Linked DNA regions of Lytechinus pictus. The protein of the gene in region 2 interacts with the protein of the main gene of each other region in a pairwise test. Links are inferred from orthologs where the notes say so. Each region holds a gene or a part of one and is shown on either strand. Other genes may lie near its edges.

Evidence for each region.
Region 1: the proteins of apoptotic chromatin condensation inducer in the nucleus-like (region 2) and apoptosis inhibitor 5-like interact in a two-hybrid assay, tested with the Drosophila melanogaster proteins (2 studies listed by BioGRID). The link is inferred for Lytechinus pictus from reciprocal best matches to the Drosophila melanogaster genes Acn and cass.

What each region holds. Positions count from the first base shown.
Region 1 is NC_087253.1:11,011,999-11,020,305, reverse strand, and holds the start of apoptosis inhibitor 5-like, read left to right. Parts: upstream 1-4,872; 5' UTR 4,873-5,018; coding exon 5,019-5,087; intron 5,088-8,307. UniProt on the Drosophila melanogaster protein: Antiapoptotic factor. Also known to efficiently suppress E2F1-induced apoptosis.
Region 2 is NC_087246.1:59,424,240-59,432,640, reverse strand, and holds the start of apoptotic chromatin condensation inducer in the nucleus-like, read right to left. Parts: upstream 3,484-8,401; 5' UTR 3,375-3,483; coding exon 3,231-3,374; intron 1-3,230.

The DNA.
Region 1 (8,307 bases), on a different chromosome or scaffold from region 2:
GGACTTACCTCTGAATTTTATCATGTCTTTTGGCCCATGCTCAAAGATGATTTTTTCGAAGTTCTTACCTCCTCTCTTGAATCTGGATTTTTACCATACTCTTTTAGGAGGGCGGTCATTACTTTACTCCCCAAAAAAGGAGACCTCGCTGATATTTCAAATTGGCGTCCCGTCTCCCTCCTCAACACAGACTATAAAATTTTTGCTAGGCTGCTTGCCAGTAGGCTAAAATCATGCATTGACCATGTTATTGGAAGAGACCAAAGTTATTGTATCCCCGGTCGTTCTATTTATGACAACATTAATCTCATTAGAGATATTTTGTTCTATGCAAACACTGATAATATTTCTTTGGCTGTATTGAACTTGGACCAGAAAAAGGCATTTGATAATGTAGATCATGTTTATTTATTCAATGTTATGAAACGCATGGGCTTTGGAAGTCATTTTATATCTTATATACAAATTCTGTATGAAGGGGCTGAAAGCCTTATTAAAGTGTGTGGATCCCTGACAGCTCCCTTCCCCTTTGAGAAAGGAATACGACAGGGATGCCCTCTATCAGGGTTGCTATATACTCTCGCCATTGAGCCTCTCCTGAACTCACTAAGAGAGAACGTGTCAAATCATGCATTAAATATCCCTGCTATTAACAAACGTTGTGTAGTATCTGCATATGCAGACGATGTATCGATATTTGTTACAGCCGATGCTGGCTTTGAATTAGTTGAACAAACTTACAATATGTTTAGTCTGGCCTCTGCTGCATGTTTAAATACAAAAAAATCACAAGGCCTTTGGGTCGGCCGTTGGAAAGGGCGGAATGATAAACCCCTCAACTTTTTTTGGAATAGTGAAGGTCTCCCTTTTTTAGGAGTTCATTTAGGGAACACCTTTAATTATTCTAAACAAAACTGGATTAAATGTAAAGAAAGACTTAATAAGACTTTCATTTCGTGGTCTCGTTTATCGAACTCACTCTCATTTAAAGGCAAGGTATTGATTGCAAACCAGCTCGCTGCATCAAAAATATTTCATGTTCTTGCAGTTCTTTCTCCTCCTGAAAATGTATTAAACGAACTTCAGAATTTAATTGTGAATTTTATCTGGTCAAATAAGCGGCACTGGTTAAAGAAAGAAGTGTTGTATGAAAAACCTGACGAAGGAGGGCTGGGGCTAGCTTGTCTCCAAGCTCGTGTTCTAACTTACAGATTTTCGATTATTCAACGGTTTCTTTCGTTAAATTCTCATCCAGTAAATGACTTTATGGCTCATTTTCTGAGACAGTATTGTAAATTAGGATTTGATTACCATTTGTTCTTTACAAGAATTGATCCTAAGTTTTACACAAGTCTTCCAGTTTACTATAGTGAAGTCCTGCGAGCTTGGTTGACATCTGGAGCTCGAATTGTGACACAATCCCTCTCTTTCAGCCATGCAATTAACATGCCCTTAAGTAGTTTTCATATTATTGATGCAATTGATGTTGATAATTTTTTTCCGACGCGCCTGATGGCATGCGGAGTGAAACTAGTTCGCCATTTGATAAACCACTCAACCGGTCTTTGGATTAAGAGTAGCTGTCTCCAAAAGAACCTTCCAAGAGGACTTCGACAACCATCATCGCGTCTCATCGAACGTGAAACATTACTCATTCGAACTGCACTCTCTAAAGTTTTTCCTACATATTTTAATGACTCAGGCTGTCAACACGAATACTCTGATTTATTGTCTGTTCCAGTAACTCCGATCAACTTCACTCTGGCTTCTTCCGAAAATGGACTTACTGCTTCTTCTAAAGCCATCTACACAATCTACAGGAAAGAACTAGATAACACGACAATCTCATCAAGCTCACATTGGCATGATACTGGATTTCTCGATCCATCTACAAAAGTGAACTGGCTATCTATCTATCAACTACCAACACCTAAAAAAGAGGCTGATATTCAATACAAACTCCTTCACAATATTTTACCGTCGCTCACTGTACTCCATCATCTTAATACAGACATTTCTTCTTTTTGCGGATGGTGCGGAGAAGCAGGAACCATTCAACATCTGTTCATCGAATGTAAAGGAATTCAACCCCCTCTCAATCTTCTTCATAGACTGTTGAACAATCTCCTCCCCTCTCTCAAACTTAATTTTGACCTGTACTGGGCACTCATTCCGCATGCCAGAGGGCGTGACGGAAAGATTATCCGCCTTGCTAATTTCCTTATTATTAGTTTAAAAAGTACAATTTATTTTATGTACCGTACCTCAAATTTCACCGATCCACTTATAATTTGGTTACATCGTCTCAAAAACAGAATACTCTATGAATTTACTTATTACAAATTATGTTCTAATATTGATGCTTTTTCACGTAAATGGTGTATGAATAGATTACTTTTTACAATTAACGAGGGCAGCATTGCATGGCTCATTTAAACATTTGATTTTATAACTCTGTGCTTGTAATCAACCTGATCTCATTTGAATGTTTATGTCAAACTATTCTTTTATTATATACCTGACTTTTGTGATTATAATTTGTAAATAAAGTTTTCATTTGAAAAGTCAAAAAAAAAGTCTTTCTTTCTTTCTTTCTTTCTTTCTTTCTTTCTTTCTTTCTTTCTTTCTTTCTTTCTTTCTTTCTTTCTTTCTTTCTTTCTTTCTTTCTTTCTTTCTTTCTTTCCTTCCACCTTCTTTGTCCTTTCTTGTTTTGTATTGTTTTGCTTTAGTTTGATCTTGGTTTTATGCCTATTGGGTGAATTAAGGGGGTTCGGGTGTCAGTGCGATTTCGTTTCGTTTTGGTGTTCAACTGAATGTATGTGGGTGTATGGGGCGTGGAGCACTCGATTCTCTTCAATTTTTTATATTACAAATTTCATTTAGTTTCACTAAACGTTGAGCAATATTTTTTTTATGCATAACTATGAAAGCTCTTGTGAATTTTTTTAAACATTTTTTTTACGAAAATCATCCGCCTGTGTGAATATGTCAAAATACAGTAATTTTTGTATGATTTTCTGTACTATGATCTATTTGTCTTTGGTGAACAGTGTTTGTGCTGATATTGTAAAACATTTTGCGATGTACCATTAGGCCTACTATAATACGATTTGAAGTGAATGATTTTAATAAATGAAGAGTATGGTTGCAAAAGGTTAGATCCACTTTGGACGATTCTGAGAAAAATCATGTTTTTTATTCTCCCATATTGCAATCAAATTACACTCATGATGTAGGCCTACTATACCCTATAATGTGAACTAAAATTGGGTATTAAAAATCTTCCTATCTTCAAGTTTTTTTGATACATATCTTTAAAGGGATGGTCCAGGCTAAAAGTATTTATAGTTTAATAAATAGAGTAGAATTCACTGAGCAAAATGCCGAAATTTTCATCAAAATCGGTTAACAAATAACAAAGTTATTGAAGTTTAAAGTTTAGCAATATTTTGTGAAAACAGTCGTCATGAGTATTCATTAGGTGGGCTGATGATGTCACATCCCCACTTATTCTTTTTTATTTTATTATATGAAATTAGGTTTATTCAATTTTTTTCCTCCAAGAACTGATTTAGTGCAATAAATATTTATTGCTGCAACTTACTTAATTATAAGGGAGACATATTATTCACACAAGTATGAAATAATGAAAAAATTATGATTTTATGTAATAACATAAGAAAACGGAAAGTGCACTGTGATGTGACATCATCAGCCCACCTAATGAATATTCATGACGACTGTTTTCACAAAATATTGCTTAAATTTTAAACTTCAATAACTTTATTAATTGTTATCCGATTTTGATGAAATGTTAGGCGCTTGCTCAGTGAATTCTACTCAATGTATTAAGATATAAATATTTTCAGGCCGGACCATTATCATTGTGGATCTAACCCCTTTTGCAAGCAAACTGAAATGAATCCAATCCCTTTTGAATAAAAAGAGTGATTTTTCTTTGCCACATTTACTCACATTTCAAATTTTCTTTGTTATAATCAGAGCGACTAAAAATATAGAGGTTCTGAGACAAAAAACCCCAATAAAATCAATTCCTTTTGACAAATGAGCTCTTCAGATGAGTTAGGTTCCAAAATAGGGGTTATTATAGATCCACTCCGAGGAAATCAGTTTTTTATTCTCCCATATTGCAATATTCTTATGCGACTGACTAAATTTTTGTGATACCCTAATACCATGTAAACATAAAATTGGTTATAGAAATTGGTTAAAGAAATCTAACCGTCTTCATATTTTTTAAATTACTTTTTTCCAAACAAAATCTTTGTGGATCTAATCCAGTGGCGTACCTAGGATTTTCCACAGGGGGGGGGGGCAAAACCGTTCGCCAAAAAATTTGACAAGCAAAAAAAAAAGTCTTCAATCACAAATAAAGGATTTCGTACCAGAAAAAAAATTGACAAGCAAAAAAAAAAAAAAAGGTCTTCAAGCTCGTCAGGGGGGGGGGGGGCAATAAAAGTATTCAAGCTCGTGAGGGAGGCAAAAAAGGTCTTTCAAGCTCGTCAGGGGGGGGGGGCAGGGATACGTCCTTTGCATGGGTTGTGGCTCGTCAGGGGGGGGGGGCAGACTGCCCCCTTGCCCCCCCCCCCCGTAGGTACGCTAGTGATCTAATCCCTTTTGCAACCAAATAAATGGATCTTACCCCTTTTGTTAAAAAGGGTGATTTTTCTTTGCCATTTTTGTTCACTTTTTATTGGGAAATTCAACTTTTCCTTGGTATCATTTTAGAGAGCTACTGAAAGTCTATACATTGAGACAAACAAAATTTGATGAAAAATTGATCTATAGCCCCTTTTGCAACTGACCCCTTCAAAATTAATACTTCATGTACGTACAGTATACAAAAATATCATGCTACTAACGATAGATGGCGCTAAAGTTGTGAAAAGCTCGCGTTGCGCTAATTAATTCGCGAGACGTGTTATTTGGGCATTTTTCTAGGGACCGATTTTCGAGTTAAACTTCAGTTAATTCCTTGATCCAATTTATGTTCGATCATGGTAACTATTGAACAACTTTACAAGGATTATGAGGTCCTTGCCGAAGCTGGAACAGATGCCGGGAAGGTAAGCGCGAGAGCCAGATTGATAGCTTTTCGATGGGTGCAACTCTGATAATTGTTAGTTTTCGTTAGGCTACACGTTAACGCAATATGAATTTGTGTGCACGTAGATTATAAATAGAACAAAACAATGACGGTGTATCCGGTCACCCTCTTAAAAAGTCTTATGATCGAAGACGAAGTTGAAAGTCAGGGCGCAAATGCAGTTTCGTCCCGGGTGACTTAGCCAGGAGACTCCTAACAAGTTAGAGAGTAAAAATCATTTCTAACGTATGCTTTAACGTTACTAGGGTGTCTAAAGCCACACTGAAAAGTGTCAGCATAAGACGGGCTGATTTAGGGGAAAATATGGCACATTTTTTTCGGGAAGTTCAGGCTACTACTTTTGTACTAGAAAAATGTGATCTGAATTGATTGTTAACTTGTGTTTGGCATGTATGGAAAGAGAAAATTTAGGGGCTTCTTTTGACAGTAAGGACAAGTTTATATGATCATTTTAAATAAGGATTTAGATAACATTGATTTAGAGATAAATTTCAAACCCTTAATTTATTTTTGTGTGTGTTGAGATTGCCATTTCCCCATGCGTTTTCTATGGGAAAATTAATTTTCTGTTTTGCACAATTTTCTCACTTTGTCGCAATTTTTCATTGTGATCTGGTTTCCAAATCTTTATAAAAATCATACCATCAGAAAGAGCATAAAAAATCCTATTGGATTCTTTATTGAAAAGTTTTTGGCATTAATAATGAATTTATAACAGTCAGTAGGTATGTGCGAATACGGGCGCATGGCGAGCGCTGGTTTTGGCTGCACGGTTTTCGCGCGGGTTTCGCTGCAAGTGGCATCGCCTCTGTCTGGGAGGCTCATCGAAAATGGGGTTTCATGCGCATGCGCACATAGTTGATGCAATCTCGTGCCTTGATACAGACAGTTGAAAATGTGCTCTTTGTACATATAAGTTTCAATGTGGATACTCGCCTGTTAAGTGTGGATATCGGAGCTTGAAAGTTCATCAAATTTTTGGATGCGCAAATGATCGAAATTTTTTAATGGTAAGTAGAACTACGATCCAATTATGTATCTGAATTGTTATAGAATATATTCAAATCAACAAAAAAATTAAAATTAAAAGATTCTATCATTGAGCTGTCCAGATATAAGAGAAGCGAGCTACCCTTGTCACAGCCGGTCTCTCGGCAGTCGAGCTTCCCGATGCGGTGGGCTCCCGTCCGTCTTTCAGCAGTCGAGCTACCGGTACCCGATGCGGAGGGCTTGGTGACGGGAGCGGTCGATAGTGAGTCGTTCATGCTGGATTGAACTGGATCTAAATTGTTTACTTGATAATATTGTGCCTTTTTCTGAAAATGTCTGTCATTATACCGTAGATTGTTATTCTGATATTGATTTAAATATATACATTTTGTCACAAAAACATTCTTTCCTCCTAAGGTTATAGAGTCAACATGTTTTACTTTGATTGTTCAATCATGTTTTATCATTTGGAAACTGGATTCTTTTGGAAGTGGAATATTAATGTTGACTTATTAAATTAAAATGCAAAATCTATAGTGTTTCTTTTTTTTCTTTTGTAGAAAAAAAATATATTTTGAAACTTTTCAATCATGTTTCATTATTTTGAGACTGAATTTGCTTTTGAAAGGGGAATATCATAAATGTTGACTTTTTAATTAAAATGCAAAAATTGTTATTTTTTCAGTTTCTTTTTTTATATATTTTTTAAAGTTTCTTTTTTAAATTATTGTATTGTTTATTTTTTCATTTTTGGGGGGTCATATTTCATTATTAGGAGACTGGATTTGCTTTTGAAAGGAGAATATCTTAAATGTTGATTTTTTTTATTAAAATGCACGAACTAGATGTTGTTTATTTTTTTGTTGTAATTTTTTTCACTCTTGTAAGAAAATACATGAAAACTCAGAGGAAAGAATATTTCATTTCCAGATGGGTCTAAGTCATGTATTTATGTTTTCTTTATTATTAATTTTACTATTTATTTTTTTATTCACTTTTCTTTTTTTTAGGGGCGCAGGTGGGGGTTGTGTTTTGAATTGGAAAATGGGGATGGGATTGGTACAAGTTTTTGTGTCACTTTTGTTTCTCTTGTTTTTAGTGCTTGTTTGGAGCTTTGATGTCTGTTTTGTTGTTGTTTAGAGCTTTGTTATATATTTTTTCTGGTTGTTTTTTGTTTTGTTTTGAAAGAAATAGACCACTCTTTTCCTTTTCTTTTGGCTTCGACTAATAATTTGAATTTATTTATTTTTCTTTAAAAAGAGAGCTCAAACAGGGCCTTAGTAATACAATGTATGTATACAAATATAAGACATTGACAACTGATAGAATATATTAAAACTTAATTTTCGTCCTTCTTGATACTTGAAATAAATTGCATACAATTCTACATACATATTTTACACTCAGCTGCTCATTCCTTCTAAAAAAATGTAATCACATGTCCATTGTCTCTCAAGTCAAAAGCTACATATTATACATGTATAACAAATTGTTGAAACAATAGAATACATAAGGAATTGGTGAAACAATCAAAATCATCAGAAAAAAGCACACATATTTTTATTTGGTCATACAAAGTACAAAAGAAAATGTTTTATATGTAAAAAAGGACCCCCGTACATACACATACAAAATTACAATACTAAGTTGAAAAAGGGCTTGTAATTTATATCAGAAAAACAAAGAAATACATTAGAAATTACAATAACAATACTTTAGACAAATTCATTTAGGAAATTATCTACATGATGCTGTCTTGATGCCAACTAAATTATATGAATTATCTATCATAATCACCTTCATTTGGCAAAAAAAGAGGCGAGTAATTGTGATTTTGTGTTATTTGCATAATTAATTAGAATTAATCAGAAGAAATTATTTTACACATAATAAGAAAAATTACAAGATGAATCGATATACATCAATTGAGCATTCTCTCACCTTTCCATTGATACCTAAATTACTTCATAGGACTCAAAAACAAAGAAGTTAGAACCTGTTGAAGACTTGGGTTCAAAATGGTCACAAAATGGTCACAAAAATGGGTTCTGTACTCCATTGACTTTACATTAAGACAATAACCACAAATTTGGATGAATATGCGCAACTTAAACTGGAATAACTTTCTAATTTCTTGATGAAAATTAAAGTTCTTGGTATCATTTTAAAGGTCTTTTTAAGAGCTTTCA
Region 2 (8,401 bases):
GGATTTTATGAAATTTATACAGTATCAAGAACTAAGAAGTAATTTTGTTGGTTGAGATAAAACATTGAAATTTGCAATTGAAAGATATATGCAACAAATATTGGTAGAAATGGCTATTAGCAAATATGCCCAGACACACACAAACACCCACACACACAAAGTTCACATATGTAAGAAATTGAGTTGTAATTTTCATATGCTTGCTATAATGTATACGTACATTGTGTGCACTGTACATGTAATTGATTGAAACTCATTGATGTATTATAGATAATGAAATCATACTCAATCAATTTTTAGTAACATTGATAATCACTGTTTATATTCAAAAGATTCCAAAAAATACTATTAAAGTATTATGCCATTACAATTGGATTTGACAATTACTTTAGAAGAAAAGGATCAATTTGTTTAAGAACATTTTTTCTCAACAAAAAAAAAGTTTCGAATACTAGAAATTTAGAAAATGAATAAAATGTCCTCATTTTACAATCATGGTTTACAGTTTGAAAAAAAAATACAAATCTACTGTTCAAACATTTCTATGAAAATATGGCATAAAAATAACGAAGTCAATTTGCACATTTGTTTGCTATGTAGAGAGAATGTGAAGCATGAGAAGAATGTAAAGCATGGGATGAATAAAGGAGTCAATGTAGAAGTGATGAGATCAAAGGAATGTAACATCAAAGGCAGGGTGCTACTGACTGCTACATAAGCACTTGCCCGATTGCCCGGGGCAAGTAAAAGTTATAGTCGGCAAGTGTTTTGAAGTAAAGACCATAACTACTTCTTTCTTCATTTCATTTCTTTTGTTTTATTTCACTAATTTCTTTTATTATATTTGTTTTCTTTTTGTTATATACTTTTTGAAAATTATTTTTGTTTGTTTCCCCCTTTTATGCATTGTTCTAATTTTGCAGCATATTTTTCTGTGATTTTCTCCTTCTATAATATGCTGCAAAAGAGAAAAAAGAAATAAACTGGATTTGGGGCATGCATAATCTAGGTTTTAGGATTCAAAGAGGAAGGAAGGAAAAACCATTGTTTTGTACATCTATCTGACTTTGCTATGCACTATTTATTTACTTTACCATTATCTCTATACAGAGATTTAAAAAAAAGTCCACACAACCTGCGAACAATACAATTCATTTATTCACTTTCAATCATTTCATTTTTACAACGATAGAAACAATTATCAATTAGCAAAGTAAAATAACAGCAAACAAGGTTTACTTACAAGATGTATAAAGTGAAAGGAACTTAGTGGTAGTGGCTGCAGAATGAATATTTCAGAAGTTTGTTTTATTCATTTATAACGTTTTTCTTTATATTTTTCGGGCCACCAAACTTTAATATCGGGCCACCAAAAAAAATTATTTGATGGTTTTGGTGGCCCGAATGGGCCACCACCAAAAAAAGTTAATGTGGAGCCTTGCAATAAATGTTGAATAATCACCCAGAATTAATTCTTCAATGTCGATTAAGAGCTTTCCAGGTCTTTCAAAGCCGAAATTATCTAACTTGTTTGGTACATGTTGAGGAATATCAGACAGACGGTATCATTATCTAGAGGGATTTTCTAATAATTAATTCAAGAAAAGAGCCTCAAAATTTTTTTTTTTAAATCACCATAATTAATTTTAAAGGATATTAAAATGACTACATGTAGATATTTTCTCTCAAACCTCCAAATCCCACCACTCATAAATGGACTATTCTCTGTCTATTTGGGGAATTACTCAATGCACAATGTACTCCTCTGGCCTCTGCAATTTAATGGTGTCACTTGTCACTGAGGTATTGGTAAAATTACATTTCTGACATTATTTCATATAGAAAAGGGCATTACAATCAAAAGAAAGGAGGCATTTCTTTGACCAAAGGGGCATGACGGCCAGAAGGAAAAGGGCAGGTAACTTTATGGCCGTGACAGTGTAACTTTTTTGGGGGGCATGATGGCCAAACAAAGAGGCATCTACGGCCATGGCCGTCAATGGCCCTTTATTAATTCGAGCCCTGCAAGTGCCAGATGATTTTGAGACTAAGCTGAATAACCAATTGGCATTAACTTTGTACACAGCAAGCACACACAGTGACACACACAAGAAATTAATGATATTCAAGATAAGGTCAATGTACATGTCCGAGATAAAATATTTTTTTTAATATACAATTGAGGCTGAATGAAACATAAGTATGATAAGTTAGTATTAGTTTCGACATATTTTTTAGTTGAGTGTGACTGGGTGAGTCACCTCAGAAATTATATGTCATGATTATTAAATTAAATTTTAGGAATTTAGACCCACTTTCATGCCATTTTATATTGACAGTATTTGACACCGACAATGTGGCTCCAGTTTGGGCAACTAAACATGTCACTGAACTCTGTCTCGAGTTTACTTCTTATGGTTACGCATGAGCCCGAGAAAGCAGAGACAGTTGGCAAAATGCTGCTGGGCCTGGGGATGCGCTAATGCAATTTCGCATCATCATGATCATCTGCTGATTTCACGCGAATTTCCCCACCAGAAATTGTTCAAAAATATCATGGCAAGTCCCTCAATCACCTTTAAAGGTCAATCTGCCCACTGCTTTCCCGAATATCGCAATCAGGAACAGCTGTATTTCACGTTCAGCTTCAATCTCGACATCATTTGTCGAATTCTCAGTCAGACAGCTCGACAGACATCACTTCCTTCGCTGCCTTGGCTTTGCCGTAATTTTATATGGACTGACATTAAGTTATCGACCAAATCATGTGAACTTGTGGCGAACAAACAGAAGACCTGACGCAGGCAATTTTGGTCGATAACTTAAAATACAAGCGAAATGATGTCTGACTCTGACTGAGAATTCAAACAATAACGTCGTCGTCGCGTCGAGAAGACGAGATCGGAGGCGTTCCCGATATTTGGAAAAGCGGTGGGCATATTATTAATTAACCACAAATGTGACTGAGAGACTTGCCACGACATTTGTGAATAAATTTCTGGTGAGGAAATTTGCTTGAAACCAGCCGGTGCGAAACTGCATTAGCGCCGCTGCGGCTGCAGCCATGTCTCGGTAAGGCCAAGGCACATATCCCCGAGTTGGACGCCCTGGCAATGGGCACGGAGTACTGAGCCCGGGAGGGACGCTGGAAATGGCCCACGCGAGAGGGTAATTTTCGATCTCCCTCGACTTTTAACGTGAGAAGCCCCTTTTCTGCGAAACTTTCTTACCGCTTTAAGACGTTCCGCGAGCTGACTCTTGCTACCAATTTGTGACACGCCATACTTCTTCAATTCTTGCTTCAGATCAACAACTCGAAGTTGCTCAATCGACCTGCCGTCGGGAAGCGTTGTAACTCTCTTCTGTTCGGCCATTTTGGAAACACAGCGGTAAAGAAGACGCGCGAGCGGAAGCTGGGCGCGCGCCCTAGCATGCACGTGAAAACTGTCGAAACGTACACTGTCCGATGGTCCGATCCGATCATGGAAATAAAAGGAAGTTATGACAAAATAAAAGTTACATGCATAGGCGGATCCAGGGGGGCCCGAGGAGATCGGGCCCCCCTATTGGCGGAGCAAAAAAAAGGGGGAAAGAAAGGAAAAAAGAAAAGAAAGGGAAGAAAGCTAGAGGAAAAACGAAGAGCAAAATAAGAGGAGGGAGACGGCGAGTGAAAAAAAATAAGGTCAGGGGATGCCGACTTGGAAAATGATTAAAACATAATATATAGGCCCTATTTCATGTCATTATTAAATTTTCGCTCGCGCTTCGCGCTCGCATAGCCTGTTCGATGAGATTATCTTGCTCACTGATAGGCTGATATGTAGCTTAAAATATCAAGTTTTGAAGTCAATATACAAAACATATTTCAGCTCGGACATGGAGCTTTTATTATTTTGTTTGATTTACAAATTGATTTTTTTTTTAGTGCTCTGCATGTCCGTTTTATAGTGTGAACATCATTTGCAGCTTTATGCGCTGTGCGCTGGCGTTATTTGATTTGTCAAGTAGGCCTACATATATTGTCTTTGTTTATTCCATAAGATTCTTTATATATAATAATTATTTAACAAACTACTTAAAATCCCCCTTTTATGACAGTTTATCAATAATTTCGTCTCGCAATTTGCGCTTATAATAATAGTTAAAAATATATCAACTCATAAATCCTATTCATGATTACAAAAGTGCTTAGAATATGGAGGTTTTAGGCTTCAAATGTCAACAAATTTCACTCACTCATTACGCTCATATATGATAATAAAATTTTCATGAATTACTAATAACTAAATTGTCCCTTTTTCAGAAAGGAATATCGACAAGTTTCATATCGCGCGTATATAGGAAGAGGAAGAGGAAAATAGTAATCAGTTTCATATGATGACGAAATGTCCTTAGGCCTAGAATGTCCTGGTGAGTGTTTTATCAACATTTTCATCCGACAAGTTGTCAGATCTGACATCTTTCTCTGATGTTGATTGGCTGAGAGGTACTGTTACTATGTTAACTGTCGGATAAAATGGGACTTGTCGGATAAAACGTCCGACAAGTCCTTTCATGAAACGCTCCCCAGGTCCTAAGTCAAAATAATAATAAAAATATCAGCTCGCGCTTCGCACCCCAGGACCAAAATCCAATTGAAACCAGTTGGATTTTCAACTGGTTTTAATTGGTTTCAATTGGTTTCAACTGGTTTCAATTGGTTTTAACTGGACTTCAACAATTTCCAGTTAAAACCAATTGAAACCAGTTGGGCAACCGTGGAAATCCTAACTGGAACCAGTTGGGTAACTGGAAATGACTTCCGACTGGAAATGATTTCTAACTGGAACCAGTTGGGTAACTGGAAATCCTAACTGGAACCAGTTGGGCAACTGGAAATCCTAACTGGAACCAGTTGGGTAACTGGAAATGACTTCCAACTGGAAATGATTTCTAATTAACTGGAACCAGTTGGGTAACTGGAAATCCTAACTGGAACCAGTTGGGCAACTGGAGATCCTAATTGGAACCAGTTGGGTAACTGGAAATGACTTCCAACTGGAAATGATTTCTAACTGGAACCAGTTGGGTAACTGGAGATGACTTCTAACTGGAAAGATGGGTAACTGGAAATGACTTCCGACTGGAAATGATTTCTAACTGGAACCAGTTGGGTAACTGGAAATCCTAACTGGAACCAGTTGGGCAACTGGAAATCCTAACTGGAACCAGTTGGGTAACTGGAAATGACTTCCAACTGGAAATGATTTCTAATTAACTGGAACCAGTTGGGTAACTGGAAATCCTAACTGGAACCAGTTGGGCAACTGGAGATCCTAATTGGAACCAGTTGGGTAACTGGAAATGACTTCCAACTGGAAATGATTTCTAACTGGAACCAGTTGGGTAACTGGAAATCCTAACTGGGACCAGTTGGGCAACTGGAAGTCCAAACTGGAACCAATTGGGTAACTGGAGATGACTTCTAACTGGAAAGATGGGTAACTGGAAATGACTTCCAACTGGAAATGATTTCTAACTGGAACCAGTTGGGTAACTGGAAATCCTAACTGGAACCAGTTGGGCAACTTAAATTCCTAACTGGACCCAGTTGGGCAACTGGAAATGACTTCCAACTGGAAATGATTTCTAACTGGAACCAGTTAGGTAACTGGAAATCCTAACTGGAACCAGTTGGGTATTAAACTGGAAATAAAACGCGATCCAGTTGGGTAACTGGAAATGATTTCCAATTGGTTTCCAATTGGAAATTTTCCAGTTACCCAACTGGATCCAATTGAAACCAGTTAATTTGCATATTATCTGCCAGTGTGCACAGATTAATGTTTTATGAGATTCATCATCATTTACAATGTATCTATTTAATTCTTTTCAATTTCAAGTACCACACTTTTTTAGGATAAGTGTTTATAATACTTAGCAGTGAAAACCATGTTCATAAATGTTATAGATTATATAATTAAAACAGATTCAAAGATAATTAGTACACCATGCACTAACTGTTACCAAATTACATCAAACAAAAATACATATATTTGAAGATCTTCCATATAAATATATAACATATGAAAGTCTGTATTTTATCAATGCCCTTTACATTGGTATATTAATAGACATATAACACTGCTTCTGTGTTGGCATGAGCAATAGTTATAGTGCAAATGCTAATTAATTTGTAACTAATTAAGTTCATTCCAACTGGAAGTTCCAATTGGATCCAGTTGGAAACCAACTGGTTTCAACTGGTTCCAGTTGAAACCAGTTGCCTCCAATTGGTTTCAACTGGAACCAATTGAAACCAGTTGCCTCCAATTGGATTCAATTGGTTTTAATAGGGAAATTGGAACAACTGGAACCAATTGAAACCAATTGCCAACTGGTTCCAGTTGCCCAATTGGTTTTAACTGGAACCAATTGGCAACTGGTTTTCAATTGGAACCAATTGGCAACTGGTTTTCAATTGGAACCAATTGGCAACTGTTTTTCAATTGGAACCAGTTGTTCCAATTTCCCTATTGAAACCAGTTGGCCAACTGGTTTCAATTGGTTTTGCTCTAATTGGTTTTAACTGGATTTTGGTCCTGGGACTCGCATCATTTCTTAAGTGCTATTCACATACACATCACAATTTCCATCAGTGCTTTAGATAGTGCTTAAATTCGCTCTTTTCATACCGGAATATCAAATATTTTCCGCTCGCGCTTCGAGCTCGCATTATTGATTTTCATGATAAAAAATGAAATGTATTCAGAATGCCCAGATTCTGTCTAACTCTAAAACACGCGCACACATACGCAGCTTGATCTTTATTCAAAACGTGCTAAGAGCGCTCTCATCATTAATGTAGGAACTTCCTTTTCATGATTTACAAAACATGAATAGAGTGTCCAATTTTTAGGTCTGAAATCTCAAATCTTTTAGCTGGCGCTTCGCGCTCGCATCAATTGTTTAGTTTTATACCTATACCGTTTATTTCAAAAAGTGCTAAGAATGTCAATTTTTTATAGGTCGGAATGTCAAAAAAAATCAGCTCGCGCTTCGCGCTAGCATTATCTAAATGTTGAAATATGTATCGTCTTAATGGCTAACTGCAAATCGTCCTTAATAGGTCCCTTTTTGCGCGTGATCAAGCCTTAACCCATATTAAAAATTTCTGCTCGCGCTCGCAGTAATTATGTAATTACATACGCATCTTGTTCAGGTTCACAAACATTGCCCAGTATATTCCAAAAATATTCAGCTCGCGCTTCGCGCTCGCACTATTCAAATAGGGCATATGAGATTATTACACTTTTTAAATGTTGTTTTATAAGAATAAAGCAAAGAAATTACTGTTAGGACATCGGCATTTTGCCCCCCCCCCCAAAAAAAAAAGGAATAAGTGTGACTATAAGCCTATCATTTTTCAAATGTTATGTAAAAATCTATCACAAACTTTGATTTTAGTATTCAAAATGTCAAAATTTTTGCTCGCAACTCTTATTAATTTTATGTGATATGCCGTATTAAGCCCCTCATTTTTTTAGGCTCATTGCGCCACTGAGACAACCCCTTCAAAGAAACAAACAAAAATCAACTTTGAGCGGCCGATCGGGGAAAAATGCATGAAAAGCAATTTGGGCCCACCCCCTATTGGAGCTGGATCCGCCCCTGATTATGCACAGCAACCTGGTCGGTATGCAAATGAGGAAACTTATGATGTCATCCAACTCACTATTTCTTTTATGAAAAATGAAATTTTCGAATTTTTTCCTCATTGACAAGTGAAACAACGATTAATTCCTCCCTGAACATGTGTAATAAGCTCTGTTTAATTATGGTTCAGTCAAGTTCAAATCTGTAAAAAATGAAATATTGCATAATTCAAACAATGAAAAATAAAAGAAATTGTGAGTGAGGGACATCATCGACTGTCTAATTTGCATGTTACTTAGTTGTGCACATCACTGTTTTGTGAAAAATTAGCGAAACTTTAAAATGTCATAACTTTTTATTTACATCCGATTTTGATGAAATTTTCAGTGTTATGCTAGTTTGATTTTTCTCTATTTTATCAAATCAACTTTTTTATAGGGTGGGCTTGACCTTTAAATTTACTAAAAATTTGGTATCATTTTACCCAGCAAACATGCATGTTCAATTACCCAGTATTGGGTAAACTTTTTTTAGCGTGTATAGGGTGCATGGGAGGGGGTGTTGGAATGAAAAGCAACGGGGTGGGGCATTGCCTCATGCCCCCCCCCCTCGTCGTGCCACACAGAGGTGGCGATATTTTTTCTTGACCGAGAGAAAAAGATTCCACCTTGAGAGAACAAAACAATGTAATTATGCACTAACTCAGCAAACTGCATCGTGTCCTGTATGTGACTGTAATCGGAATTATAAAATTTCTAAGAAATGA